7 linked regions of the Sus scrofa genome follow. The protein of the gene in region 6 interacts with the protein of the main gene of each other region in a pairwise test. Links are inferred from orthologs where the notes say so. Each region holds a gene or a part of one and is shown on either strand. Other genes may lie near its edges.

Region 1 (3,999 bases), on a different chromosome or scaffold from region 6:
GAGCCATGATGGGAACTCTGACTTCTGAATTCTGATTTAAGGGTGAGGAAAAGTTTGAGGAAGGTGCAAAGAGAGGTCACAACTTCCAGTGTCAATATGGCAGGGCCAGACGCTAGGGGAAAGTCATATATTGAGTTCCTGCTGGGGAACAATAGATTGGCTGCATCTCTGGAGCACTGGGATGCAGGTTCAATCCCTGGCCCAGCATAGTGGGTTAAGGATCTGGCATTGCTGCATCTGTGGCTCAGATCTGAGTTCCTGGCCCGGGAACTCACTATGCCTCAGGGCAGTCAAAAAAAAAAAAAAAAAAATCAGTTGAGTGTTAGGTACTCATGAGATGTCTGAGAGGGTAGCACTTCCAATAAATTACATAGTCTCAACCAGTCTACTGGTGTCGCATAAAGTTTAAACCAGCTTATCCCATGGCTCTTGACACAGCTTCCTCACTGAGGCCCAGAACAGCATTTTTTTGTTGCTGTTCAAGAAGCAAAGATCTGCAGCCTAGAGTCATTAAGTGACGGCCAAAGGACTCCCAGCTGGTAGCCACATTAGCCACAAAGAGTCTGACTCTCACTCCAGTGCTCCCCTTTTGTCATCATGCTCTTTTCTCTTTGATGGGATCCAAGGTCGACCCATCTGCAATCCTGCTCTTGAGCAAAATGGCAGGATGACGTTCCAATACATTTGGGAGAAGACACCCATGAAACATCAAGAATGAGAATTTTCACAGGTAACACACTGACAGATGGCACGGACAGCTCCCTCAGGACGAATCCTCGCTACCACAGCACATGGCCTGTTCTCCCCGCAGGTACTGCATCTTACCTTATTCTACGCTTAATACAATCGGCTGTGGGTCAACCTATTTCCTCCCTTAGAATTTTTTTTCTTTCTTTTTTGGCTGCACCTGCAACATGTGGAAGTTTTCAGGTCAGGGAGCGAACCTGTGCCATAGCAGCTACCTGAGCCACTGGACTTACAAGGCTGGATCCTTAACCCTTTTGACACAAGAGAACTCCTTCCCTTAGGATTTTAAATTCCATGATATCAGGATCTTTCTTTTTTCTTTTTCAGTTTTGATACCCCTGTCCCTAGCATCAAGCACATCATCTTATTATTATTTGTGCACTGTAGGCACCAACAATTGCTTATGTACAAATGAAGAAATCATGGAATGAAGGGCTGAAATAGGGTAAAGGAATCTATTTCAGTGAAGAAGGGACAGTGGCAAGCAAGCCCGAGAAAACAGCAACAGGAGATCCCTACCTGCCTCGCCACCCTGGCTCCTGCCCTTTGCCAGAAACTTCCTTTTCCCACATGGTCACTTGAGGTCTCTGGTTGTCTGACAGCCTCTCTAAGACATCTTGATGGGCCGGGGGCTGGACCAAGGGAATGTCTGAGACCCAAGGGGGAGCCATTCTCGGCAGAGTTGGATGGGGCCGAGCTTGGAAGTGGGATGGGGGTATCAGCCTGGTGGAACCTGAGGAATCGTAAGGACAAAGATGGTCAGTTTCCCAGGGGGACACAATCACCAGTTCCCTTGCAAGATCCCACTGACCTGAACGTCGAAACATCTCCATATCATCTGAAGTCTCTAGATTCTGTGTCCAGTCATCTATGTTCTCCTGGACAATAGGAGAAACAAGGACACTCCAATTCAATTTTCAAGCCCCCTTCCAAAGAGAGAGCCCCTACAACAGCAAAGTCAAAAGCCTTAAATAACAGCCAGGGATGGCCGACTCTTAGCTCCTCTTTTCCTACTTCCCAAAAGAAGCAGGAAATATCTGAAAATCACTTGCTTGTCTCAATCTGGTTCCTAACAGAACTATGGCAACAGCCACGAGATGGAACAAATTTACTGAGACAGGCTGGGAAGCTCTTAGGTTTTGTTCATACTTGTAGAATTCTGGGCAGTGCCTTTACCCTCCTCCTTAAGTTTCTACAGTCTCTGCTGTTCCTGGATGGAGATGACGAAGGTGTGCGGTGCAGGGGCTGTGAGCCCAATCGCCGGAGTTCTCTCCATGGCTCAGCAAGGCCTTGGGGAAGCCCATCCAGACACCACCAAGCCATGACTCCTGGGTCCTTCCTTATCAAAGCGCTGATCCAAAGCCTGGCCCCAGATGAGCATGGCTACATGTAGAGCAGGACACCTATGGGGCCCCCAGGGAATCCAGGCAGCCTAGACCCCTTGGCAGAAAAGTCATCTCATCCAAACCCTTCCAGCAACTCCCTGCTCAGTTTCTCTCTACTGTCCTCTCAGTTTCCATTCCTGTCTCCCACCAGCCTCTCCAGAGCCCCAGACAAGAGACGGCTCTTCAAGATCTCCCCACCCTCCCACCCGAATCCATCTATTCCCCCCCCCAATCTGAGATTCCTATGCCCCTCCCTACATCCTAATTTGCTTTGATCCAGAAGGAATTATTCTGGTCCCCCACGCTCATCTCTCAATTCAATTGCCTGCTCTCCCTCCCGCCTCTCCCGCAGATACTCCTGAGCCTTCGCCCTGCTGGACGAGGAGCTCTAGGGCTGTTCTGACCACTTCATTTGTCCTTTTACCCGGACCCTGTACCCCTCCACCCTGTGGACCCCTGAACCCACCCCCGCACCCCCTCTTGGCCCTTCCCGCCCCCAACCGACTCTTCCCGAATACCCCTTACCCAGCGCGAGCGACCCCTCTGCCCTTTGACCACACCCCCTACCCCTAGCTCAGAAGCGCGGCCTCAGCCCCTGACCGCGCCTGCGCAAAGCGGGCAGGTTGGCGGGACGCTCTAAAGCCCTTCACCCTTCCGGGAGGAGGAGGGGAAGAGGTGTACGCAGGCGCGGTAGTCTAAAGCCCGGCCCAATTATGGCACTGAGGGCATCTCCGCGCCCTGGCGGCTCCTCCCAACTCCGGGAACCCGGGAAAACTTGTGAACTAATCAGAAAAAGCGGAAGGCGGGAGATCGGAGACCCTCCCAGCGCGTCGCCCAATGGAGAGAAGGAGGGCAAAAGAGATGGCCAATCAGAAACGGCACGGGGGGCGGGCTCTCTCGGCGCGAAGTTCAGACCCGGGAATTCCGAAGGCGGGGTCGGTACTGCCCGCGCGCGGAGACGGCGCCCCTCCTGGCCCCGGCTTCCTCGCTGTCAAACAGCCGCTGGAGCACCAGCCCTGGCCGGAGCCTGAGAGATCCTGAGCTGCCGCACAGGCTGGCACTGCCCGGAGAGGGGACCGCTTCGAGACTGCACCTCGCGGTAGATAAGAATCTGGATTGCGGCGGGGAGGGAAAAGGCTGGGTTTCCCTCGCATGATCCCGGGAAGCCCTATCCTGTCTTTAATCCCACCTGGAGAAGTCGGGAAGCAGGGGTTTAGATCCGCTTTGTTAGAGAACATAGAGACCCATTTGCACTGCCTTTGGAGGGATGACAGTGGATAGACTTCCCACGGGGGTTTAAGCTATCTAGTTATGAGTGAGGGGTTGGCCAGAAGAGCGAGGCGCAGGCTAGCAGGTGGGTTACTCTGTTTGGATTAGCAGAATTGACAGGAAACTTCTCCAAATTACACTGAGGTGACAAGTTAGTATCACACAGAAGCAGGACCCCAGTCCTCCCCCCTTGCAATTCGCATATTCCCCAGAAGCTGCCTAACGTATTGTTGCCTGGCACAGACTTGAAGGCTCCCGGAATATTCTGCAGCCTGAGGATCTGATTCAACTTCGTGCCATAGGACATCTTCGTCTTTGCACTATACTGGGACCCTCACGAAATTTTTCAGTTGGAAAACTGTTGACAGCCAATCTTGCATCGAATCCTAGGCCCTTGCACTCTGAATTTACACTATTCGGGGAGCGTGCCCAAGGTTGAGATTGCACAAAGCACAGTTCAACTCTGCATCAGAGGGAAAGAGAACTTAGGCCAGCTGTGCATGGCCCAGGATTGGGAAGTGATGGATTCCTGAAGTGGAAGAGGTGGTGCAGAGGGGGCACCGCCCATGCTGCCCTGCTTCCAGCTGCTGCGCATAGG
Region 2 (4,146 bases), on a different chromosome or scaffold from region 6:
CCTAGTCGGATTCGTTAACCACTGTGCCACGATGGGAACTCCTTGCTTATTATTTCTGCTTTCTCCTCCCATAGGCCAAGCTCCCACAAAGTGTGCTTCCCCAAATCCCATGAAGAAACCATATGACATTCTTTTCCTTTTCCAATATTCCTGGAAGTTCAAAATTGACTTGGGGAGTTCCTGTCGTGACTCAGTGGTTAACGAACCTGACTGGCATCCATGAGGACACAGGTTCGATCCCTGGCCTCGCTCAGTGGGTTAAGGATCCGGCATTGCCATGAGCTGTGGTGTAGGTCACAGACTCGGCTCAGATCCCACACTGCTGTGGCCCTGGCATAGGCTGGTGGCTACAGCTCTGACTGGACCCCTAACCTGGGAACCTCCATATGCTGTGGGTGTGGCCCTAAAAACAGAGAGAGACAAAATAAAATAAAATAAAATTGACTTGGATTTCTCCCCACACTGAAAGGAGACATTGGAAAACAGCATACCTTTCCAGAAAAGGCAAATGTTGACTGCCAGCAATATAAGAGGTGATCTCTTCTGGAAAAAAATCCCTTTACCCCCTTCAGCCACCCTACCTAAAGCCATACACTGCTACCTATACACTGCTACACTCTTATCGTTCACTGCGCAGCTGCCACTGCACTGCTTCAAAGAGCAGAGCTGGTAAGATGCCAATGCCCAGACGCTCAGCGCTATCTGGCTCCAATCCAGCCTACACTCAGGAACTCCACATCCTGTTGGAAGCACATTCTGCAGAAACTGTCAACACCACACAGACAGAGTTTCCTGGTGGCCTAGTGGTTAAGGATCCAGCATTATCACTGCTGTGGCTCACGTTTGATCCCTTCACCCAGGAACCTCTGCATGCCTCGAGCACAGCCCAAAAAAAGAAAAAAGAAAGGAAAAGAAAAACACCACCACACACAGAAAAGGATTTCCCAGGACTCACAAGTGAAACTTTTTGAATGGCATCAAAAATCCACAGTGCATGGAGTTCCCTTTGCGGCTCAGCGGTTAACGAACCCTACTAGGATCCATGAGAATGTGGGTTCAATCCCTGGCCTTACTCAGGGGGTTAAGGATCCAACGTTGCCGTGAGCTGTGGTGTAGGTCACAGACGCAGCTGGGATCCCGAGTTGCTGTGGCTGTGGCCAGCAGCTGTAGCTCTGATTAGACCCCTAGCCTGGGAACCTCCATATGCCACAGGTGTGGCCCTAAAAAGCAAAAAAAAAAAAAAAAAAAATCCACAGTGTAGCCACTTAATTCTAACTACCAAAGGAGGGAAAAAAAAAAAAAAAAAAAGCCCTAATACTTCCCAGGCTAAATGACTAATAATTACCTTCCTCATTTCCTGCTGCAACTGAGCCTGGAAATGGCTCTTAAGGCAAGCGGCCTCTTCCTGAAGCTCCTGCAGTCGGGGGTCCGGCCGATTCTTCTCATCTCGAAGAGCCTGTAGCTCACCTTTCAGCTCCTCCACCTCACGGGTCAGCTGCTTGGTCTGCAGTTCAAACCCTTCCACCTGACCGGCTGCATAGGCCTGTCCAGCCAGAGCTTCTCGAGTCTCTTCCAACCGAAGCTCCAAGTCCTGGCGCTGAGTCCTCTCCTCCTGCAGCAGTTTCTGGAGCTCACGCAGCATCAGGGCATGGTCACTCTGCTCTTGGGCCCGATCATGCTGTTGCGTGATAAGTCGGGCTTTGGTTTCTGCTACCTGCTCCTGCAGCCCCTTCAATTCTCCTTCCAGACGGCCCCTCTCCTCCTCTAACTTCTTACTGGCATCCTCTAGGTCCTGTTTCATCTTCTTTTTGTCAGCCAGATAAGAAGCTTCCATGCGGGACTTCTCCTGGGTGACTGTGGCCAAAGAGCTGGTCAAAGTAGCCAACTGAGTCTTTAGCTGGTGCACTCGTTTGTCCACCTCACCACCTCCAGGCGGTCCATCCCCACTGCTACTGCTAACGCCGCTCTCTGACCCGCTGGCCTCCTCGGACTTTGGAGGTGGTGGTCCACAGGCCGGTCTGTCATCTTCAACCCCAAACTCACCCTTGGTACTGGTGAGACTGGCGGCAGTATCCAAGCTGGTGGCGGTCCCAGTGCTGTCTTCGCTATGAGTGGAGCATCGATCATCCACAGAGTCGGGAAAGGTGAGGCTTTGGGGCTGGACACCTGCAAGGCCCACATCCGCCTCGTGGGATACCGACAGCACCTTAATGCTGGCCTCCAGCGCCTCTTTCTCTTTCAGCAGGCTTTTATAGGCGCGGACTACATCCTTGAGACGTGCCTGGTACTGGAGGAGCTGCTTCTTCTGCGTCTCAATGGTCTCCAGCAGGTCCCTCTTGCTCGGGCCGCCCCCGAAATTCATCCCAAACTTCTCCATGACGGTTCAGGACGGCTTGCTCTACGACAGCGTTCGGACAGGCTGGGAGAGGGTCACGAAGATGTTGGCGGGGGCTGTGAGCGACAGGGAGAGAACTGCCCACCCCCCCCCGCCCCGGCCGCACATCTGCTCCTCACAGCTGTTCGACACCGAATGTGGGGCGCGGCGGGGCAGCCAGGCAGAAGCGTCCGCCAGATCCCTGACAAGAGGGTGGGGGCTGGTCCTATCCTAGAGGAACAGACTGCCAAAGCTCACCAGAGGAACACACTGCCAGGGCTCGGCCCCACTGTTCCAGAGCCGCTCCGTGCCCCGCCGGCACCAGGAGCCGACGGTTTAAGCTGAGCTTAGCCGCATCCCGACTTCCTAACTCTAGCCACGAGTCAACAGCGCTTCCGGGTCCGGCTGGAAGTGACGACAGCGTGACGCATCAGACCCCGCCCCCAGTGAGCGCGAGGTGGGCGGGGTTAGTTCAGCCGGCGGTCTGGAGGCCGTTCAGCTGGGCCTCCAGCTGTTTGCTCCTGGCTAGAGCAGAGCAAGTAAAATCGGGTACCCAGGAGTGATGTTGGTTTGGTGAGGGCGCCTGATTTTGCCCTAGCGAGGGACCAGGACGACGTCGCACCGCGTCCTTACCAAAAACCCGGGTAAACGACGATGTTTGGGGGCTCAATACTTTTGCCCCTAAAGAGCAACAGTTAAGACTCCCATTTAGACCATGAAAATGGCAACCCTTTCGAGGACAGTATTTGGAACCCAGTAGGCGTACAGTATAATAATTATTAGCATCCTTCCTGAGTTCTGAGGTTATTCAACAGAGAGAAATATATATAGCCACGCTGTCCATCCTAAGTGCCAAATATATTGCAGGAAGATCACAGGAATTTTGCTGTTTAGTCTTTATAGTAATTCTGCTGAATGGGTATTATTAGCACTATTTTATAGAGAAACTTGAAGCACAGAGAGGTTAAGTGACACTCCCAAAGTCACACACAGCCAGTAAGTTTAGAATCCTATCAAGATCAGTCCCACTCGCCACATATCAAATGCTGTGCTAGATGATCACCTTGAAGAGATAAGGTCTTGAACACTGTAAACCAGCTATAATGAAAAAGAAATAAAAATCATTATATATTTTAAAAAAGAGAGAGAGAGAAGGTCTTGCCCTCAGGGAACCCATATCTAGAGAGAAACCAGATGTGCAAACACAATTATATGCAAAGGGGTATGGAAGTTAAGAGGAGCGAGGCCTGTTTAGAGGAGACAAGCCTCTCAGGGGAACTATTTTGAGATTTGAATGATGAATACTGATTGCCCATCTAACCGGAGAGGAGGGAAGCATTCCAGGCAGAGAGGAAAACGTACAAGGACTCCTAGGGCATCAGAGAGCCTGGGTCCTCCCGGGGAAGCACTGGGAAGCATTTCAAGGCAGTAGCTTAGGTTTTGTGAAGGAGGTGGCAACAGATGGGGCTGGCAGAGTAGATGAGGACCCAAATTAAGGCATTTGGATTTTATCTTGGGTAATAAGACACTAAAGGATTTTCATCACAAGAGTGGCATCATCAAATCTTGTATGACAAGGTGGAGAAACCGAGGTATAGAAGGCTATTTTCAGTCATGGGGATAAGATGGTAGTGAAATAGAGCAGTGACAACAAGGATGAAAGAGGCTAATTAAAAGAGCTAAAGATGTAGAACTGATCTGACTTGGTCACCAGTAGCTGTGTTGTTATATTTGGATTCTTTGAAATGTGCTCTTCAACCTTGTAAAAGCCT
Region 3 (4,080 bases), on a different chromosome or scaffold from region 6:
AACTTAATGTGCCTTATTTCTGGTTTCTTGGAGGCCTGCTCTCCACAGGAAAGGGAGAGAGATCCTATCAAAGTCCCCATCAGCCCTGTTTCTCCTCTGCCCACCATCTCACAGGGCTCCCATCTCACTCCGAGCAAGCCCAAATCCTCCCTGAGCCCACAAGGCCCTGCACCATCTGTCCCGCCTCATCACCAGCTACAGAATTTGCAGGCCCCAATGCAAAACAAGACCATTCAAAAATTATTAGGAATTTCCAGACCAACACAGCAGATCATCCACCCAAGCAGAGGCCCTTCTGGAAGCCAGGCCTCTGTGCAAATTCCAGAAGCTGCTAGCCCTGCCCCTCTGCTCCCTTTTCCTCTCAAGCACCCCACCCCCACCTGTGCTAGGCACAGTGCTGCCTCAGTACCTTTGCACTGGCTGTTTCTGCCTCCTAAAATAAGCGACCAACCCCATAGCCTACTGGCTCCCTCTCTCGTCTTCAGATCCGCTTAGCGGCCAAAGAGGTCCATCTGAGTTCCCTCTGTTTAAAATCACATCTTCCCGGCCCTCCCTCCTGCTTTCTTTTCTCTATAGCTGTTACCACCATCTGACCTGCCAGGGACCTGGCTCTTTGGCTGGTCTCTCTGTCTTCTGTCTTCTCCACCAGGGTAGGGACTCTGTACCCCCTCCCACCCCCACCTGGCACACAGTAGGCGCTCCATTAATGTGAGTCAAGGTATGGCTCCCAGGAGGTCGGCGGTATCATCCCCGCCTTTCTACGGAGGAGGAAACCGAGGCTCAGAGAAAAGCCAGTGAGCCAAGGTTACAGAGCATGTCCCTGGCACGCGTCCGGGTCGCGCCATGACAGCGCCGGCGGTTTCGATGGGGGCAGCCGGGCCCCAAGCTTTGACCGATGGGGAAACCGAGGCCCTGGCGGTTGCCGAGGCCACCCGGCCGGGAGGGGCCGCGGCGGGGCGGGGGCGCGCGGGCCCAAGGTCACCGCGCCGGCCGGCCCGGGGGAGGCGGATGGGTGGGGATCCGCGGGCCTCCCCGGGCGCGCGCCCCCCCCTCGGCGGCGCGCACGGGGCCCGGGAAGCAGCAGCGGCGGCGGCGGCGGCGGCGGCGACAGCAGCAGGTGGAGCCGGAGCCTCCGCGCAGCCGAGGCCGCGGCCACTGCCGGCGTCGCCGCCATTAGACAATAGGAGCGGCGGCCGGGCGTGCGGGGAGGCGGGCGGCGGGGAGGGGCGGGGAGGGGCGCCGGGCGCGCAGGAAGCGGGGCCCGGGGCGCGCCGGGGCCGGGCGCGCGGGGAGGGGGCGCAGGAAGCGGGCGAGGCCGGGCGCGGGAGGCGGCGGCGGCGGCCCCGGGAGCTGCCGATCGGCTCCGGGACAAAGGCGCGGCCGCCCGGCGCCCCGAGCAGCCCGAGTCGGGGCGCACAGCCGGGGCGCAGCCTGCGCCCCCCGCCGCGACTGACATGATGTTTCCACAAAGCAGGCATTCGGTAAGCGGGGCCCGTCGGCCCGGCGGCCCCCCCCCCCCCCGTCCGGGCCCGGCACCCCCGGTTCCCAGCCCAGCCACCCCCCCCAGCTCCGGGCCCTGCGTCCCCCTACGTCCTGGCCCGGTATCCCCAGTTCCCAGCCGGGGCTATTCCCTCCCCCAGGTTCGGGCCCTGCGTCCCTCCAGGTCGGGGCCCCGTACCCTCCCATATCCGAACCCAGCGCCCCCTCTAGGTCCAAGCCCTGCGACCCCCTTCCAGGTCCCTGCCAGGCCAACCCCCCGCCTCCAGCTCGGCACCTCCCCCCAACTCCTGGGCCCAGTCCCCTCCAGCTCTGGGCCCAGAGCTGCTCCCCCCCCGCAACCGCCGCCAGCTCCGGGTCCCCCTCCCAGCTTCCGGGCCCAGAGCCCCCCCAGGTCCCCTTTTGCCCCCAGCTCAGAGCACGCCCCAGACCCTGGACCCTGCGCACCCCCACCCCAAGCCAGGCTGGGCCTCGCTGGCCTTGGCCTGGGGCCTGGGGCGCCCCGGGAGCCCCACTAGGCACCTCTAACGCTGGGGCTGCTTTTGGGGCCTGGGAGTGGGGGAGAGTCAAGGCGCACCCCTCCCGGAAGAGCGCGCGGCCTGGAGGAAGGGTGCTAGGAATCTGGGGTGGGCCCCCGCACCCCCGGAAGATTTTGGGCGCTGAGAGCCCCCTCTCCCAAGGGGACTTTGCCAGGAAGCCTGCCCCCGCCTCCCAGCTTTGGGGAGGGGGATTCACTAGGACGCGTTCTCCCCCCTCCCTGAGGCAGTTGGGACGCTCAGACGTGCAACCCCTCCCGGCGCTGTGGAGGCGCGGTAGAGGGCGCACCCTACCCCCCACCAAGGGCGGCCCTTCAAATGCACCCCCACAGCCTGGGGGTGGAGGGGGACGAGCGGCTCCGGGAGCACCCACCCTCCTTAGCTTCTCGGGGAGAGGCGGGGGCAGGAAGCGAGGGCGGGGGCCGAGCCAGGGGCTGTAAACACAGCCAGGGAAGTGGGGCAGGGTGTGGGGGGACGCTGCAGCTGCGCAGGCCGCAGCCTGGTGGAGGGGGGGCGCCCTCAGGGAGGAAGGTGGGTGGCGGCCCCCTCCTGGTCCTGACCCGGGCCGCCCCCTCCCCACAGGGCTCGTCGCACCTACCCCAGCAACTCAAATTCACCACCTCGGACTCCTGCGACCGCATCAAAGATGAGTTTCAGCTCCTGCAGGCTCAGTACCACAGGTGAGCTGAGGGCTGGTGGTCCCTGCCCTGGGTGAAGGTGGAGCCCCCTGCTCAGAAGGCAAGACTGAGGCCTGGAGCTGAAGTTGTGGTCCCTGCTATACACACAGAATGGGGGGAAAAAATCGGTATTGAGTGTCTCATGTGGCAGACCAGGTCTCCAACACTTACGGATATTAAATTCATTTAGTCTTTAGGACAGTCCCATTTCATAGAGGAGAAAACTGAGGCACAAGAATTTAAATAATTTGCCCAAAGACTCAGCCGTCTGGTTTCCAAGCCCCTCTCCCCTCCCCCACCCCCACCCCAGACTGCGTTGGATAAAAGACCTCCCAAGAGCTGGAGTTGGGGGCTGGATCTTCCATCGCCCCACCCACCCCTCAAAAGAAAGTCTATAGCTTGTTATCTCTTTGCCTAGTTTTGGAGAAAAGGTTTCTGGCACCCAGCAGCAAGGCGATGCTCCCTCCAGAATTTAATCTAACATTTCTAAAGGGCTTGCCATGTGCCAGATCTAAGAAAAAGGAACTATTATTATCTTCATTTTACATTTAGGGAAACTTAAACCCAGAGGTGATAGGGGTTTCCTGGGGTTGCCCAGCAGGGAAGTGGCAAAATGAGATTCTCACACTCAGTTTCTGGGTTGAAGACTGCAAAGTCTCAAGCCTTAGCTCCGGAGGGGGTCTTTGCTTGAGAATCAGAAGGGGGTCCATGGCCACAGATACCAGTGGGGTCTTGGGCTTTCTCTGGACCTCAGTTTGGTCACACAAAAGTGTTCTATGAAGGATCCTGAGTTTTCTCCAAGAAGAGATAGGAATAGTGAGATCTGTTTTTCCTTTGGGGGTGTTCCTATCCTCCCCATTTGCCAAATACTGAACATACATCCTTTTATTGAATCTTCCCTGCTTTTTGATCATATGCCCATTTCAAAGTGAGGAAACTGAGGCAAGGTGGTTGAAGGGCAGGCCCGGGAGCTTTGTTCTGGTCCTGTGATGTGGAGGGTTTAGGAGCTTTGCTTGTCAGGCCTGGCCTTTCTGAGCCTCTCCAGGGGTCCTACCCTCCCTACCTGGCCCTTGCTCTCCTCTGATCCAATCTGGCTGGCCGATCTGACTCCAGAGACTGAGGGTCAGGTTGCTGCCTCATGCTGTGTGACCTCAGGTAGGCCAGGCCCCCTCTCTGAGCTTTGGAGTCACGATCCGCTGGGCCTGGGCTTCCTGCTATACAGCGAGGAGTCCTACTGTGTTGGGGACTGGTACAGTATCTGCCAGTCCCTCAGGAAGGGCCAGAAATGCAGTTTGGAATGAAACTGCCTTTTTTTTTTTTTTTTAACAGTGGCAGCAACTGTACATTTTTAAAGAAAATTAGAGAAGCCA
Region 4 (3,500 bases), on a different chromosome or scaffold from region 6:
TTATTAGATTCCACATATAGGTGATATCATATGATATTTGTCTTTCTCTGTCTTACTTCACTTTAGATCTGCGTACTGCATGATTTCTATTTCCTGTGTTATTTTCTGGGCAGCAGCCAGCTGCACTGCCTCAGAGGAATTCTGTAGGAGCCCCTCCTCTTGGGGACTACAGACCACAGGGCTTACCTGGGCCTACCAGTCAGGGGCCTTTTCTGATGACGTTGCTCCAGCCCTACTGACCTTGCTGTTCTCGAACATTCCAAGACCATTTTCACCTTAGAGCTTTTGCACTTGCTCTTCTCTCTAGTTGGACAGCTCTGTCCCCCAATAGCTACACACCTTGCTCCTTCGTTTTACTCAGCCTTCTCTGATCACCCAATTTAAAATGTCATTTTCAGAATTCCCGTCGTGGCTCAGTGGTTAACGAATCCAACTAGGAACCGTGAGGTTGCGGGTTCGATCCCTGGCCTTGCTCAGTGGGTTAAGGATCTGGCGTTGCCGTGAGCTGTGATGTAGGTCACAGACGTGGCTTGGGTCCCACGCTGCTGTGGCTGTGGCATAGGTGGGTGGCTACAGCTCCGATTCCACCCCTAGCCTGGGAACCTCCATATGCCATGCATGTGGCCCTAGAAAAAAGACAAAAAATAAAAATAAAATGTCATTTTCACCCTCCTTCCTTGTACCATGTGTTTAACCTGTTTTGTTTTTTTGTTTTCTGTAGCACTGATTACTCTCTGGCCTATGGTATATTTACTAATTTGTTTTCTTCTATATCCTCAGTGCCAAGACCAAGGGCAAGAAATATTTGTTATATAAATGAAAGAATAAATAAGACAGTGTTACTGCTTCCTATATAATTCTCACAATCTATGTGTATATTTAATAATCCATGTTTTACATGGGAAAGACTTTCTAACATGCAAATTTACATTTTGGAAATGATGTCTCATTTTTATAGTTCTGACAGGATTACTTTTAAAACAATGTTAGTTAAGTTTAAGAAGATTTGAAAAACCTGCCATTTACTGAGTGGCTTCTCATAAAAGATTTTTTAAACAACTTATATCTGGATAGTGAAATATTCTTAGATAAAATTTAATTTAAAAATTTAAAATATTTAAATATATAAAATCAATTTAATTTGAACTTTATATAAAATATAATTTAGCAAAATGTATAATTTCAGATTGCTAGTTGTAATACTTCAGCTGAATAAAAACATAAGTGATAAAAACGGAGTGTATAGGAAATGGTTCTATGGGTGTATTACAAACATAGAGTCACTTAACATTTCACACTTAATTCCTTTTCTCAATTTTCAGGAAATCCAGCAATTGGAATTTTGAAATATAAAGAAAAGTATTACACTTTCAATACCAGAGATGCTGCATATTCGTTTGCAGAAAATCCTGAAAATTATATTGATTCAATTACAGAAAAAGCCAAAAAAAATGCAGAATTGATTCAACTACTAGAACTTCATCAACAGTTTGAAACCCTTATTCCATATTCTCAGGTAAGGAGGGTTGGCATTTTAAGAATTTATAACATTCTAAAGTATAGTTAATAAGGTGTTCCTGTCGTGGCTCAGTGGTTAACAAATCGGAGTAGGAACCACGAGGTTTCGAGTTCGATCCCTGACCTCACTCAGTGGGTTAAGGATCTGGCGTTGCCGTGAGCTGTGGTGTAGGTCGCAGACTCGGCTTGGATCCCACCTTGCTGTGGCTCTGACATAGGCTGGCAGCTACAGCTCCAATTAGACCCCTAAGCTTGGGAACCTCCATATGCTGCGGGAGTGGCTCCAGAAAAGGCAAAAAGACAAAATAAATAAATAAATAAATAAAGTACAGTTAATAAAATGTTACATTTTGCTGTAGACTGGTTCCCACATTCAGGTAGAGTCAGGGTCAGATGGGGACCATTCCAGGTTATCTGAAAGGCGTTCATATCTGAAGAAGAAAACCAAGGAAGTCCACAAAGAATGAGTGAAAACAAGATAAGGAATCAAATTGATGAATCAGGCTAGAAAAACCTGAAAGAGAAAGACTACATTTAGATAAATCACTGAATACAGTATTTCCTTATCTAAAATTGAAGGAACTCAGCACAAATAACATGGTCACTTACAGAGTTGTAAAATCATTTAACAGGTTTAAATTGCACCAGTCTGAAAAGTGCAAAGTGGATCTGAAGGTGTGTTTGAGTGTTGGCACCTATTTGTTAATTCATTCAATAGACATTTACTGAGCTGTTTACTGTGTGCTAGGCACGATTCTTGGCACAGTCAACAAGACAGGTGATAGTCTCTGCCTCTTTGGGGCTCACGTTCTACTCCTGTGTATTCTTGTTTTCTTCCTCTTTGTCTTTCATTTTTCACTGTTCACCTTTTGATCGCTCTGTCATCCTGTCTCTTGCTCAATTTCCCTCTTTTAAACTCACTAAAATAAAACCCTGAAACACATGGTTCATGGATGGTCTGTGTTTATTATATTTGCCAATACTGAGACAGTGAAGCAGGTGGGTTTGGGTACAACTGACTGGGTCAGCAGGGATCCCAGCAGTGACTGGTAAGGGGACGGTTGGGCTAGTGACAGGCAGAGTCTGAACATTTGGGTGCAGGGGTCAGCTAAGGACAAAGTGGTTGGAAGTTGTAGCATTGCTGTTCTGACACCAGGCTGCCAGTCTGTCAATGTGACCTCCAGCCTCCAGCCATCCTTTTGGATGATGCAGTTCTGCAGAACATTCGGCCTTTCTCCTGTTGTGGAGTGAGACTGGACTTGGCTGTTCAGTATCCTTCTGTCTGTGGGCCAAACAATAGTCCTACAATTTTGGCTCCACTGGGAGGTTACTCCCAAAATGATGGGATCAGTTTAGCTCCGGTCTCATGGGGCTTGTCACTGACCCTGCTAGCACTTACTTTTACTCCGGTTTATCATTTTTGCCAACATGATGAATTTCAGACGGAATCACTCTCACTGTTTTATTGTACATTTTTCTGATAGTGAGGTTCAGCCTTTCTTCTTACATCTATTATCCATTTCAGGTTTCCTTTTCTGTGCATCGACTCTTCATTACCTTTGCCATTTATTTTTTTTATACTGTTCTTTCTGTCTTTAACTTGTTGGTAGGCAGGAGCTCCTTGTCTATTATAAGTATTAATTCTTTTTTATCTTTTATTTATTTATTTAGTTTTTTAGGACCGTAGGTGCAGCATATGGAAGTTCCCAGGCTAGGGGTTGAATAGGAGCTACAGCCACCGGTCTACACCACAGCCACGGCACCACAGGATCTGAGCCACGTCTGCGACCTACACCACAGCCCACTGTAATGCTGGATCCTTAACCCACTGAGAAGGTGCAGGGATTGAACCTACATCCTCATGGATACTAGTTGGATTCATTTCTGCTGAGCCACAACAGGAACTCCTATTAATTCTTTACCAGTGTTAAAAGTTGCAGTGTCTTTGCCCAGTCTTTCCGCTCTCTGTTAGCTTTGTTGGT
Region 5 (2,449 bases), about 87 Mb from region 6:
AGGGCAGGGGGCGCCCGCAGTGCAAGGCTCCAGCTTCCTCCCCTCGCCCCCAAGGCTGACTGACCCCTGGCTGCTCTGGTCTCTGGTTCAGGCCCTTCAGGCAAGAGATGCCTTCTTGATTGAGCTCAAACCCTGCCTGAACAAGCAATAAGTGGGCTCAGAGGGAAGCCCCCGCCTCTCCCCGCCCCAGGCTTCACACGGGTCATCCCTGTCCAGCTGCTCCTGTGCCTGTCACGGCAGGTGCAAGAGGGGGAGACGTTCTGCTCATTGTTCACCCCACTTTGAGGCTGTTACAAAGCTCTGCCTCTAAAAAAGCCGCTAACGTTTCTACTCTGCACCTGCTCTCCGACTGCTGTGAGACACCCTAGAACCTAGCACAGAAACCGCTCACTTCCTGAAAGGGCCTCTGAGCAAAGCCCGGGGCTGGGTGCTGTGCTGGGCGCGCGTGACGGCACGCAGAGGGCCTCGAGCCGCCCCTCCTCGCTGGACAGCAACGGGCCCCAGGGGCTCTCGGCCATCCGGAGCCAGGAGGGGCCAGCAGGAGGGAAGCGGCAGCGTGGCGGCTCCACGGCACTTTCTGGTGGCAACTCGGAAATGAAGCGACCGCATAGGCGCCAGTGGTAAGCTCTTTTACTTTTCTTCTTTTTTAATTTTTAAAAACACTTCAGTATTTTAATGTCCTGACCAGCAGCAGTACAAACACTAAAAGCAAGGGTTTTTTTTTTCTTTTTTGCCCAGAAAAACAAAACAAAAAACAAACAAAACCCCCAAACAGGAAAACAACAAAAATCCCCCCAAACCACATATTAAAAATGGCAGGCTTTTTATAACAATAATTAAAGTAATAAAAACATACAAAACTTTGTTTTTTAATATATATACACAGTACAAGGCTGAAGCACCTTTGACTATTCTCTCAAAATTGACGTTTGTATGAAAACACCCCCCACGGCAGGAACGATCCGTGGCTGTGACTCAACGCACGCACAGAGCTCTGCGCGTGTGCCCGTGGAGTGACAAAAAGGTACCTTCCGTTGGCTGATGGGCTTTCTCTCTAGGTGAGAGCTTTTCCGGGGAAAAGCCTTGGGCTGAGGCTTCAGTACGGCTGCTTTGTGTGCTCCTAGGACCTGGTGCTTGGAAGGGAATTTTCCGGAAAAGTAACTGAAACAAATAAGCCCTTTAACTTAAAACGCACCCCACCTTCCGGGAGCTGGAGCAGGCCTCCCTCCGGCCCCGAGGACCGAGACCCGCGCCCACCGCAGCGGGAGCCGAGCGGCCGCTCCTGCTCCAGACTCCGGAACACACAACCCCAGGGGCGAGAGAGGACCACGTGTTAGTGTTGGTGACGGAGCGTCCGCTTTCAGCTGAACAACGATGACGTGGGGAAAGACTAAAACCACCTCCAGAAAGAAAAACTAGGGGCGTCTACGTGGCTGCTGGCTGATGACCAAGACGACTGAATGGCATTGGAAGCCGAGGCGAGTCCGTTCTTTTTCTGGGGCCTGGAATCCTTTGCTTCATGCATGGCACATTCTCATTGTTTTAAGCTTCAAACCTCCCAGTGAAAAATATTAAATATTCAAGGTAATAAAATAGATACTATTTCTCTACTCTAGGTTCGGCCTCGTGCGACGGAGCGTCACCTGGGGTACCCCTTCAAGTAACCCCGGGGCCAGTGCATGGCCGGCAACGCAAGGCACTTCCGTAAGTGATCCAGTTCGGCCTGGAGGCGCTCCCTTTCTGAAACAATCTTCTGTTTCTGGCTCCTCAGCTCCTGGAGAGAAGGAAACGCGTGTAAAACAAACGCCTGCAGACCTCTCTCGGTTGTGCTGCGCGCCTGGGTCCGCGCCCCCGACCTTCAGCACTGCGCATGCTGGGCGGCAGAGGGCGGGTTGGCCCACAGCAGCCTCGGCCTCGGGAAGGACCGGTCCAGCTGTGCCCCCAAGGCCTGGATGCCCACAGAAGCAGCTTCAAGCCGGAGGTGCCCACACCAGCCCGGCCCCACAGCCGAGAGGTGCCCCTGCCCCCTCCCTGCGGGCTGGGAGGAAGGGGGGTTAAGGCTGCAGGGCCTGCAGGTGTGTGGGGGACCGTCTGGCCTCAACAGCTTTGCTCCTTAGCAAATCACAGGCAGGGAGGGTGAGACAGGGCTTCATGTCCCTCGGCGGCAGGGAAAAGAGCTTCGTCACCCTCCCGGAGCGGAACTCTGCTAAACCTGGGGCCTTCGGCTGACTCCTGAATCTCCCCTTAGGACGCCAAGCTTTGATCGCACAGGAGCAGGATTTCCCCTCAAAACATGCTATGTGGGGTGGGTTTTTTTTTTTTGTCTTTGTCTTTTTAGGCCCACATCTGTGGCATATGGAGGCTCCAAGGCTAGGGGTCGAATTGGAGCTGCAGCTGCCGGCCTATGTCACAGCCACAGCCACACCAGATCTGAGTTGCATCTGCGACC
Region 6 (3,500 bases):
GTGTCCTCATGGATAGTAGTCAGATTCATTTCCACTGAACCACAAGGGGAACTCCCCATTATCTGAATTTTAAAACTTAGCATAATTGGGGTCAGTGTTTCTAATTCAGAAAATCTGTTGGTATACAGGTTACGTTGCAATTTTTAGGTGGGGAAGAGGCAAAATGTCCTTCAAATGGCTGGTTTCTGTGACCTGAGACTCCCTGGTTCCCTTTGAGAAGGAGGATGGAGAGGAAGACAGAATCTAGAACATGGGGCAGCCTCTTTATTCCTAGGGACACAGCAGTGGATGGGGGAGTGGGGAGCCGACTTCTAGACCAAGTCTAGACGTGGGGAGGAGGAAAGGATGGGAATAGGACCGAAGGCAGGGTGGAGGGAGAGACTGAGTGGACCTGCCCAGTGCTTCCTGTGTGTCTGTGCTGGGCCCGCACAGGGGCGACCCCACCACGTTCTCTTGCCACCCAGGGTCTGGGTCCTACTCAGGTCACAGGGGAGTCTCCAAGCCTCTGGAGTCTGCCATGAAGTAAGCAGTGGTACCCAATTCTGTCTGCCGTCTGTTTGGCCAGAGTCTGCGGTTCCTGATCCCACTGGCTGCCTCCAGGCCCGGTGAGGCCACATGCAGGACTGGTGTTCAGGAGGCCCTGCTGCCTGGGTTTGTTAGAATAGTGACAAGCTCCCATGTTTTAAATGCTTCCCTGTGCTTCCCAAGTGCTCTGGCCAGCCAGCACCTTTTCCAGGACGCCTGGGCCTCAACAGGCCCCAGCAACTAAGGGGTTCATGCCCTGCACATCTGAAACATAGCCTGGGCCTATTCTGATTGGTTGTCAGATGCGGTGACGGGCCCCCCCGCCCCCGGTTCTGTGTGGTGACTGTGTCTCACTGTCTACCCGTATTGCATGTGTGGGTGTGGGTGGGTGTGGGTGGGTGTGGATGTGTATGGTGTGTGCTCAGACATGGAGCAGTACCAGAGAGGCATGTCGCTGCTGGGAGCATCCCATAGCCATTATTTGGGGGACTCACTGCACCCCCAGAACAGGTTGTCCAAGCAGGAATGTACCTTGGGGCCTCCCCAGAGCTCCACTCCTGGGAAGCTTTCGCTTGTCCCTCTGCCTCTTTTTCACCATCTTCACCACCTTCTCCCAGGGGTACAATGCTGAACAGTTTCCAGATGTTCTGTGCAGGTCACTTCATCCCCTCTTCCTGAGAACACCTCTAGCAGGGAGAGCAGATGGTTCTAAGCTGGGTGACCCTGGTCCTTCTGGGAGAGCCAGGAGGAAGGTTCCCCCTTGCTGAGGACACTGGTGAGGCAGGCTGGTCCACAAGCCATGCTTTCCGACACCTGGAGAGAGCCGGCAGTCAGGAGCCTAGAGTCCATGGCACCTTCAGGCTCCATGAGGCTGATGCCGGCCATCGAGGGTCCAGCTGGGGGCCCTGGGTCTGAGGTGCAGGTAGAGACCAATGTTTAGAGACAGGGAGATGCTTGTGAATCAGTGCAGGGCTCAAGAAATTGCTAGTGCTCCCAGGAAATGGGGCCCAGTGCAGAGGCGGCCATCTGGTCAAAGGGCCATGGCAGCCAAGGAGGACACGGGTATCCACGGAGCCACCATGCAAATTTCAGGATCCAGAGGACCAGCCAGGCTGATGGAGCTTAGGCATACTAGCTGGGAATTGTGTGGCCCTTGCTCTGTGCCAGACACGGTCTGAAGGCTCCGTGATATGCCATTAACCAGGTGAGGAGATAGCGGTACCAAGAGGCTGAACAACGTGCCCAAGGTCGCAGAGCTGGGAAGTGATGGAGCCAGGCTGTGAGCTCCAGCTGTCGCCCCTGCTCTCACCCAGCCATCCTGCGGTGCCTGTGAGGGCCCCCCAGGACTCATCCCCAGCACGCTGGCCGCCACGCTCAGAGCTGTTGGCTCACTCCTGGCCCTTATGTTGCTGGTCTTTTGTTGCTCAAGTCCTGGGCACAGCAGAACAGAGAGAGATGGATAGAAATTAAGGCTCGGCTCAGCTCAGCAAGATGCGGTATCGGGAAGTGTCTTGATTCCCAGAACCAAGCTCTTGGTACTGTGCCCAGTGGTGTGGTGTAGAAACCCCTTGGGGTCCACTGGTGGTCCATTTTCTCTCCTAAAAAGCAATAAGGGGTTCCTAGTATGGCTCATTAGTTTAAAGACCTGACAGAGTCTCTCTGAGGATGCAGGTTCCATCCCTGGCCTCACTCTTGGTGGGTTAAGGATCCAGTGTTGTGGCCAGCTGGTTATAGGTTGTAAATGTGGCTCAGATGTGGCATTGCGATATCCATGGCTTGGGAACTTCCATATGCTGTGGGTGTGGCCATTTAAGGGAAAAAAAAAAAAGCTGTCAGTTTCTCATACCTGGAAACGTGTTTCCTCCAGCGCCTTTCCCTGGGGCCTGCACCCTATCTGCAGGTCCACCCTCAGTGAGCTAGCACTAAAGCCGCCTCTTTCTGACCTGTTGGCAGGGCTCTGGAGCTCACCAGTGGCAAAGATGAGATCTCCTTGTTGGTGGAGCAGGAGTTCTTGAACCTCACCCAAGAGCACCTCATCCTAATCGCAGAGAGCTCGGGAGAGCTAGAGGCACCCGGCAGCCCTCCCGGGGGACCCCGACCCCCGGCTCCCTGCCTTCTGGTGCCTTCTCTGGTGGCAGGCAGCAGTGAGTGCCCGGGGGCCTCCATCATCACCGGTGACCAGCTTCTGGAGCCGAAGGTGGCCGTGTCTGTTGTCGGCAGCCGGCAGGACTGCGATTCTGCCATATCTACAGTCACGGGCATCCTGCGTGCTGCCAAGGTCAAGGGTGCCAAGAGAACGGAGGATCGGGGCCATGGCCTGGGGGCCTCCAATTTGGAGATCAGCAAGCTCCTGGCCCAGTTCCCACTAAAGTCCCCTGAGACGTCCAAGGCCCCCGACAGCAAGGTGGTGTTGGAGGAAACCAGAGTCATCAAAGACTTCCTGCAGAACAACATGTTCTCTGGCCCTGGACCCAAGGAGCCTGCGGGGCTGGGCCCGTTCCTGCTGCTGCCGCCTCCCCCTCCTCCCAGGCCTCCCGACAAGCTCGAAAAGCTCCTCGAACTCCCAGCTCCAAAGAAGCAGCTCCCGGTGTTTGCCAAGATCTGCTCCAAGCCCGAGGCTGACCCCGCCATGGAGGGGCACCACTTGATGGGTGAGTGGGACTGGCAGCAGGGCTATGGAGTGCGTCTGCAGGGAGGAGAAACTTGCTGGAAAGCGAGTCAGGCTGCATCAGGCACAGGCAGCCTCTTTGTGCAAAGTAGGAAGAGACGGCCTCGAGGGTGAGCTGGGTCCACAGGCACAGGCTGTTTTCAAGCCCCCACAGGCCTCCTCTGCTGGATGCCTGTATACAGGGCCTGGCTCGTGCAGGCAGGTCCTGTGGTCCTGAATTCAACGTGCTCTGGGAAGAGAGATGGGCCCATTTGGTAACTGACTTGGTTTTTGAATCCACAGGTACCCAGGTACAATGGAAGGAAGC
Region 7 (3,948 bases), on a different chromosome or scaffold from region 6:
CCACAGCTCACGGCAATGCCGGATCGTTAACCCACTGAGCAAGGGCAGGGACCAAACCCACAACCTCATGGTTCCTAGTCGGATTCGTTAACCACTGCGCCACGGCGGGAACTCCTCGCAGGCCCTCTTAGTGGATTGCATGAATCTGGTTTCACAGTCCCTAAACCCTGAAGCATCTTTTTTTTTGCAGGGGTGGGGTCGGGGGTGGGGTGGTAATTTAAATATTTGCCTCAGATTAGCTACTTGCACTTTCTTTCCATAAACAGACTTTTCTATACCATGAGCTAGCATGGGATCATTGGGTTTCTTAAGAATACCTATTTGAATTTTGTAGGACCTGTTTTCCGTAATTATGCTTCGCCTGAGTCTTCTCATACATTTTTACCTCCTGCTTTTACTTTTCCCATCCCTCCCAAATCAACTTCTTTTGACAAACTGTTCTCCTTCCTTCACTATAGGTTGTCCATTCATAATCTGACCCTATTCCAAGCACTCCCTTAATTTATTTAAAAAGCAACCTGCTTAATCAGTGATGAGTTTCTTTATATTTTCCTCTTCATGAATTGAGTCTCCAAAAATAAAATGGTAATAATTAATAATCCTAGAACACATAAAAAAATAATCTGCTCCACTGCCTCAGGCAGAGTAGCCACTTCAGCTACCATCCACCCTGTCGCTCAGGTGCTCTGAAATGTCTGCTTTTCCCTGGGGACTTGAGGGTCACCTTCAGAAACCTTAGGCCTTCTCAGCCCAAGTGATAATCACATGAGCAACCTCAACCTACCAATCCCTCCCTAAACCCTGCTCTCGGAACAGCCTTTGTCGGTTTCCAGGATTTGGTTCCCTCTTTCTTCCTCCTCGGCAGGAAATGACTCTCATTTTCTTCTGTCACGCTGGTCTTCAATCCAGGGATCCTTTGGGCTCACTGTTGGGGAAACTCTCCCAGATGATACCCTTAGAGACGCCGGAAAAACCCATAAGCCTTGCCCTCCCCTCCCTCGAGCAGGATTCGCCCACGTAACCCACCTTGCCACTTGCAGCGCCCTCGCACCGCAGGCCCCGGCCCGGTCCTGCGCCTGGCCGACCAATCCCCGACTCCGCTCCGGGCGCGTCACAACGGCGCCCTTGTGGCCCCACCCCCATAACCCGCCTTGGAGACTCCGCCCCGCCGCGGTCTTTACGTCCTTCCGGCTCCGTCTTGGAAGTGGGGTTGCGCCGCGTCTTTCAGGAGCGAAAGGTGGGGTTCTGCAGAGAAAACGGCCCGCGGTCACGCCGGCAGCCGGAGGCGGGGGCGGGGGCAGGGGCTCCTGGGGCTGTTGTTCCCGGGTATTTGGGCGCAGGTCTGAGGAGGGGAGGGTCAAGGCAAACCAAGGCATAAGGGCTTCCGGAAGCGCCGCGTGCGCACGACGGGCGGGAGTTGTGGACTCAGGCCTTCCGCGCGCCTGACCCCGCCCCTCGTAAGCCCCGCCCAGGGCGCGCTGCCAGAGGTTTCCATAGTGATGGTAAACAAGCCTCAACTGCCTCTGCTACAACTGCCAAGTCCCCCGCGTTCCACCCTCTTCTAGGTGCTCACAGGGTCGACCGAGGTGCCGGATGTGAAGACGAGCGGGAGCGTGGAGACTCGGAGCCCAAGGTGAGGGGTGGTAGGGGCGGCGTGTCCGAGGCCTACACACCAGAAACCGAGGCCCCTGGCATTGAGGACCGAGGAGCTGAGATTTGGGGGTCAGGGGAGGCGGGATCTGTGGTAAAGGCCTGCACCTGGGCCTACTGGAGGTTGAAGACCGTGGGGCTGAAATTTGGGGTCTGAGATCAGGAGCCACACACCTAGGGACCGACTAGGTCCTGAACGAGGACCTGGCCCACTGAGGGTGGGGCCTGCGGGACTGAGATGTGAACTTCGGGGAGGTGGGCCTGAGGCCACTGGTTTACATTCGGGGACTGGATCGCGGGGCTGAGGTTTGGTGTCAGAGGACGCAGGATCGGAAGGGAGGAAGAGCCTGGTGCGGACTCTTGGGGTGGGGAGGCAGAGCCCGAGCGCCCCTGCCTGGGGTACGGTGAAAACATGGGGCGACCGTGAGAGGGGGTTCATTTAAAAATGAAAGCAGTACTTTCACGTGGCTGCGCGCGTCAGGGAGTTGCACGGGACTGGTTGGGAACTGACTCCTCCCCCCTCCCACGTTCCCGCTCGCAGAGCCTCCACTTTCCGTCTTTGCGGCCTTTTCTTCCTCTCCGCGCCGCGTGTGTGCCCTGAGCCGGTCTGCATTTGTCTCCTGCTCTCAAAGGTAGCATGTGGATATTTTGGTTGAAACTGTTCGGTTCTTGTTGTCTTTGCCTGGTGCCCACACTTCCGCTGGGGAAACTTGGTCGGCCGTTTTTTTATTCTTCACTTATCCTTTTATCTTTGAGTGTATTTTTGCTAATTCGTGACTGCGCCCCAGAAACTGCTGGACGCTGCCGGCGCTCGCGCGGCTCCCTCTGCCTCCCAGCCCCCGCGTGGCCCACGTAAGGTGGCGCCGAGCGGTCTGGGTGACGCCGCGCGAGACGCGGGGCCCGACCGACCCTGGGCCCCGGTGTTTTACGGTTAGGAGGCCTCAAGCTCCTCCCGGTTAGTCTTTTCCTTATCAGGGGACCCCCACAGGTTCCCGCCGGACGAACCTCAGGCCCGGGAGAGCCTGCCTCCCTTCTCCGGCTACCTGCGAGCCCCGCGAGACGCCCTTCGCGGCAGTTTCCTTCCCTTGGAGGCCCTACGACAAACCAACGTGCTTCACAGCTATTTTCGAGCCAGAGAACCTGGCGTGGGGGGAAGGAGTTGCCTGCCTCGGCGGGCGGGTTGTTCAGCGGGACCGGGGCCCGAGAGCTGCTGTGGGGGTGGGGGAGGGGCCGGGTGGCCGCGGCGGCTTCCGCGGAACCGGCCGCGGCTGGCGGCGGTGGGGGGAGGGGGGCCCAGGCTCCCAAAGTTAGGGGCGGGCCTCGGTAATCGGACCCTTGTAGAGCCGGGAGAGTTAGTTGAAGGCTGCAAATAATCCTTAAACGAATGCGTCAGCGAAACTACCGGTCTTGATATTCTTACTATTACTTTTAAGTCACGTTTTTAAAAGTTAACTATTTGTGCGTTTCTAGTAAGAATGAACAAACCTCGGGTTCTCCGGTCAGACAAAAATATTAGGATCTATCAGTGAAAAGTGATGTTTTCAGTTCTAATGAAGATAAGCTCCTTCATTTTAAAATAAGTAAATTTACTAGTTAAGCAAGTTCGGCCTTTGCCTCGGGGAGCTCCTCTTAATAGTATGCGTTTCTGTAAATTGATTAGATTTATTCTTTCCGTGTTATAGTCTACTTTTTAATTTTTAACTGCTAAGCGACTGATTTTCACTTGAGTATTGTTAACGTACCTCCCTTATAAAGTAACTCAAGTAAAAATGAGAATGGTTTAAGGGGAGGGATTGATTAAACAGGAGGAGAGTTAGTCCTTTGATAAGGTCAAAACTGGGGAAGACAACAAAAGACAAAAAGACAAAAAACAAAAAGACAAAAAAAAAAAAAACTGGGGAAGAGTGGAGACACACGTGGTGCGTGCCCTTTGGAGTAGTGCCTGGTGGGGCTACAGAAGTGGGAGGGGGGCCCCCCATCGACAGAGGTGACTTTCCCATCAACCTCCCCTCTCCAGTCTGAGTTTTGGCTCTCAGACTCTTTGTGGAATCACACTGATTGGCCCTCAGTAGTCCAGACACAGAGCTAGGTGTTTTACACTTTTCTAATCACATGCCCGCGATCAGTCCATAAGGAGATATTACTGCTATCCCCATCATACAGATGTGTCCTAGAACACATCTGGGACTGTTCTTAAGTCTGTCTGACGTGGGACATCCCTCTGCCAGGACCCCTGCCTCCAGTTAGTTGCTCTGAACAAGGGTTCTTGTGGAAGACAAACGATTGGGCAGAGGGAGA

Evidence for each region.
Region 1: the proteins of C6H1orf94 (region 6) and CCHCR1 interact in binary tests that used the Homo sapiens proteins (3 or more experiments, as listed by UniProt). The link is inferred for Sus scrofa from reciprocal best matches to the Homo sapiens genes C1orf94 and CCHCR1.
Region 2: the proteins of C6H1orf94 (region 6) and GCC1 interact in binary tests that used the Homo sapiens proteins (3 or more experiments, as listed by UniProt). The two-hybrid records come from large-scale screens. The link is inferred for Sus scrofa from reciprocal best matches to the Homo sapiens genes C1orf94 and GCC1.
Region 3: the proteins of C6H1orf94 (region 6) and AES interact in binary tests that used the Homo sapiens proteins (3 or more experiments, as listed by UniProt). The two-hybrid records come from large-scale screens. The link is inferred for Sus scrofa from reciprocal best matches to the Homo sapiens genes C1orf94 and TLE5.
Region 4: the proteins of C6H1orf94 (region 6) and CFAP206 interact in binary tests that used the Homo sapiens proteins (3 or more experiments, as listed by UniProt). The two-hybrid records come from large-scale screens. The link is inferred for Sus scrofa from reciprocal best matches to the Homo sapiens genes C1orf94 and CFAP206.
Region 5: the proteins of C6H1orf94 (region 6) and GSE1 interact in binary tests that used the Homo sapiens proteins (3 or more experiments, as listed by UniProt). The link is inferred for Sus scrofa from reciprocal best matches to the Homo sapiens genes C1orf94 and GSE1.
Region 7: the proteins of C6H1orf94 (region 6) and HNRNPF interact in binary tests that used the Homo sapiens proteins (3 or more experiments, as listed by UniProt). The two-hybrid records come from large-scale screens. The link is inferred for Sus scrofa from reciprocal best matches to the Homo sapiens genes C1orf94 and HNRNPF.

The regions. Positions count from the first base shown.
Region 1 is NC_010449.5:23,555,310-23,559,308, forward strand, and holds the start of CCHCR1 (coiled-coil alpha-helical rod protein 1), read right to left. Parts: upstream 2,801-3,999; 5' UTR 2,658-2,800; intron 2,322-2,657; exon of another isoform or gene 2,111-2,321; 5' UTR 2,071-2,110; coding exon 1,897-2,070; intron 1,692-1,896; exon of another isoform or gene 1,626-1,691; coding exon 1,559-1,625; intron 1,481-1,558; coding exon 1,267-1,480; intron 1-1,266. Other genes in the region: TCF19 (transcription factor 19), read left to right, coding at 3,968-3,999. UniProt on the Homo sapiens protein: May be a regulator of keratinocyte proliferation or differentiation.
Region 2 is NC_010460.4:20,700,339-20,704,484, reverse strand, and holds the start of GCC1 (GRIP and coiled-coil domain-containing protein 1), read right to left. Parts: upstream 2,801-4,146; 5' UTR 2,378-2,800; coding exon 1,346-2,377; intron 1-1,345. UniProt on the Homo sapiens protein: Probably involved in maintaining Golgi structure.
Region 3 is NC_010444.4:75,490,928-75,495,007, forward strand, and holds the start of AES (amino-terminal enhancer of split), read left to right. Parts: upstream 1-1,280; 5' UTR 1,281-1,454; coding exon 1,455-1,481; intron 1,482-2,615; coding exon 2,616-2,713; intron 2,714-4,080. UniProt on the Homo sapiens protein: Transcriptional corepressor. Acts as a dominant repressor towards other family members. Inhibits NF-kappa-B-regulated gene expression. May be required for the initiation and maintenance of the differentiated state.
Region 4 is NC_010443.5:55,842,011-55,845,510, forward strand, and holds part of CFAP206 (cilia- and flagella-associated protein 206), read left to right. Parts: intron 1-1,322; coding exon 1,323-1,516; intron 1,517-3,500. UniProt on the Homo sapiens protein: Essential for sperm motility and is involved in the regulation of the beating frequency of motile cilia on the epithelial cells of the respiratory tract. Required for the establishment of radial spokes in sperm flagella.
Region 5 is NC_010448.4:3,246,116-3,248,564, forward strand, and holds part of GSE1 (genetic suppressor element 1), read right to left. Parts: intron 2,015-2,449; exon of another isoform or gene 1,775-2,014; coding exon 1,640-1,774; 3' UTR 1-1,639.
Region 6 is NC_010448.4:90,457,933-90,461,432, forward strand, and holds part of C6H1orf94 (uncharacterized protein C1orf94 homolog), read left to right. Parts: intron 1-2,478; coding exon 2,479-3,176; intron 3,177-3,500.
Region 7 is NC_010456.5:61,665,146-61,669,093, reverse strand, and holds the start of HNRNPF (heterogeneous nuclear ribonucleoprotein F), read left to right. Parts: upstream 1-1,148; 5' UTR 1,149-1,237; intron 1,238-1,565; exon of another isoform or gene 1,566-1,633; intron 1,634-2,191; exon of another isoform or gene 2,192-2,282; intron 2,283-3,948.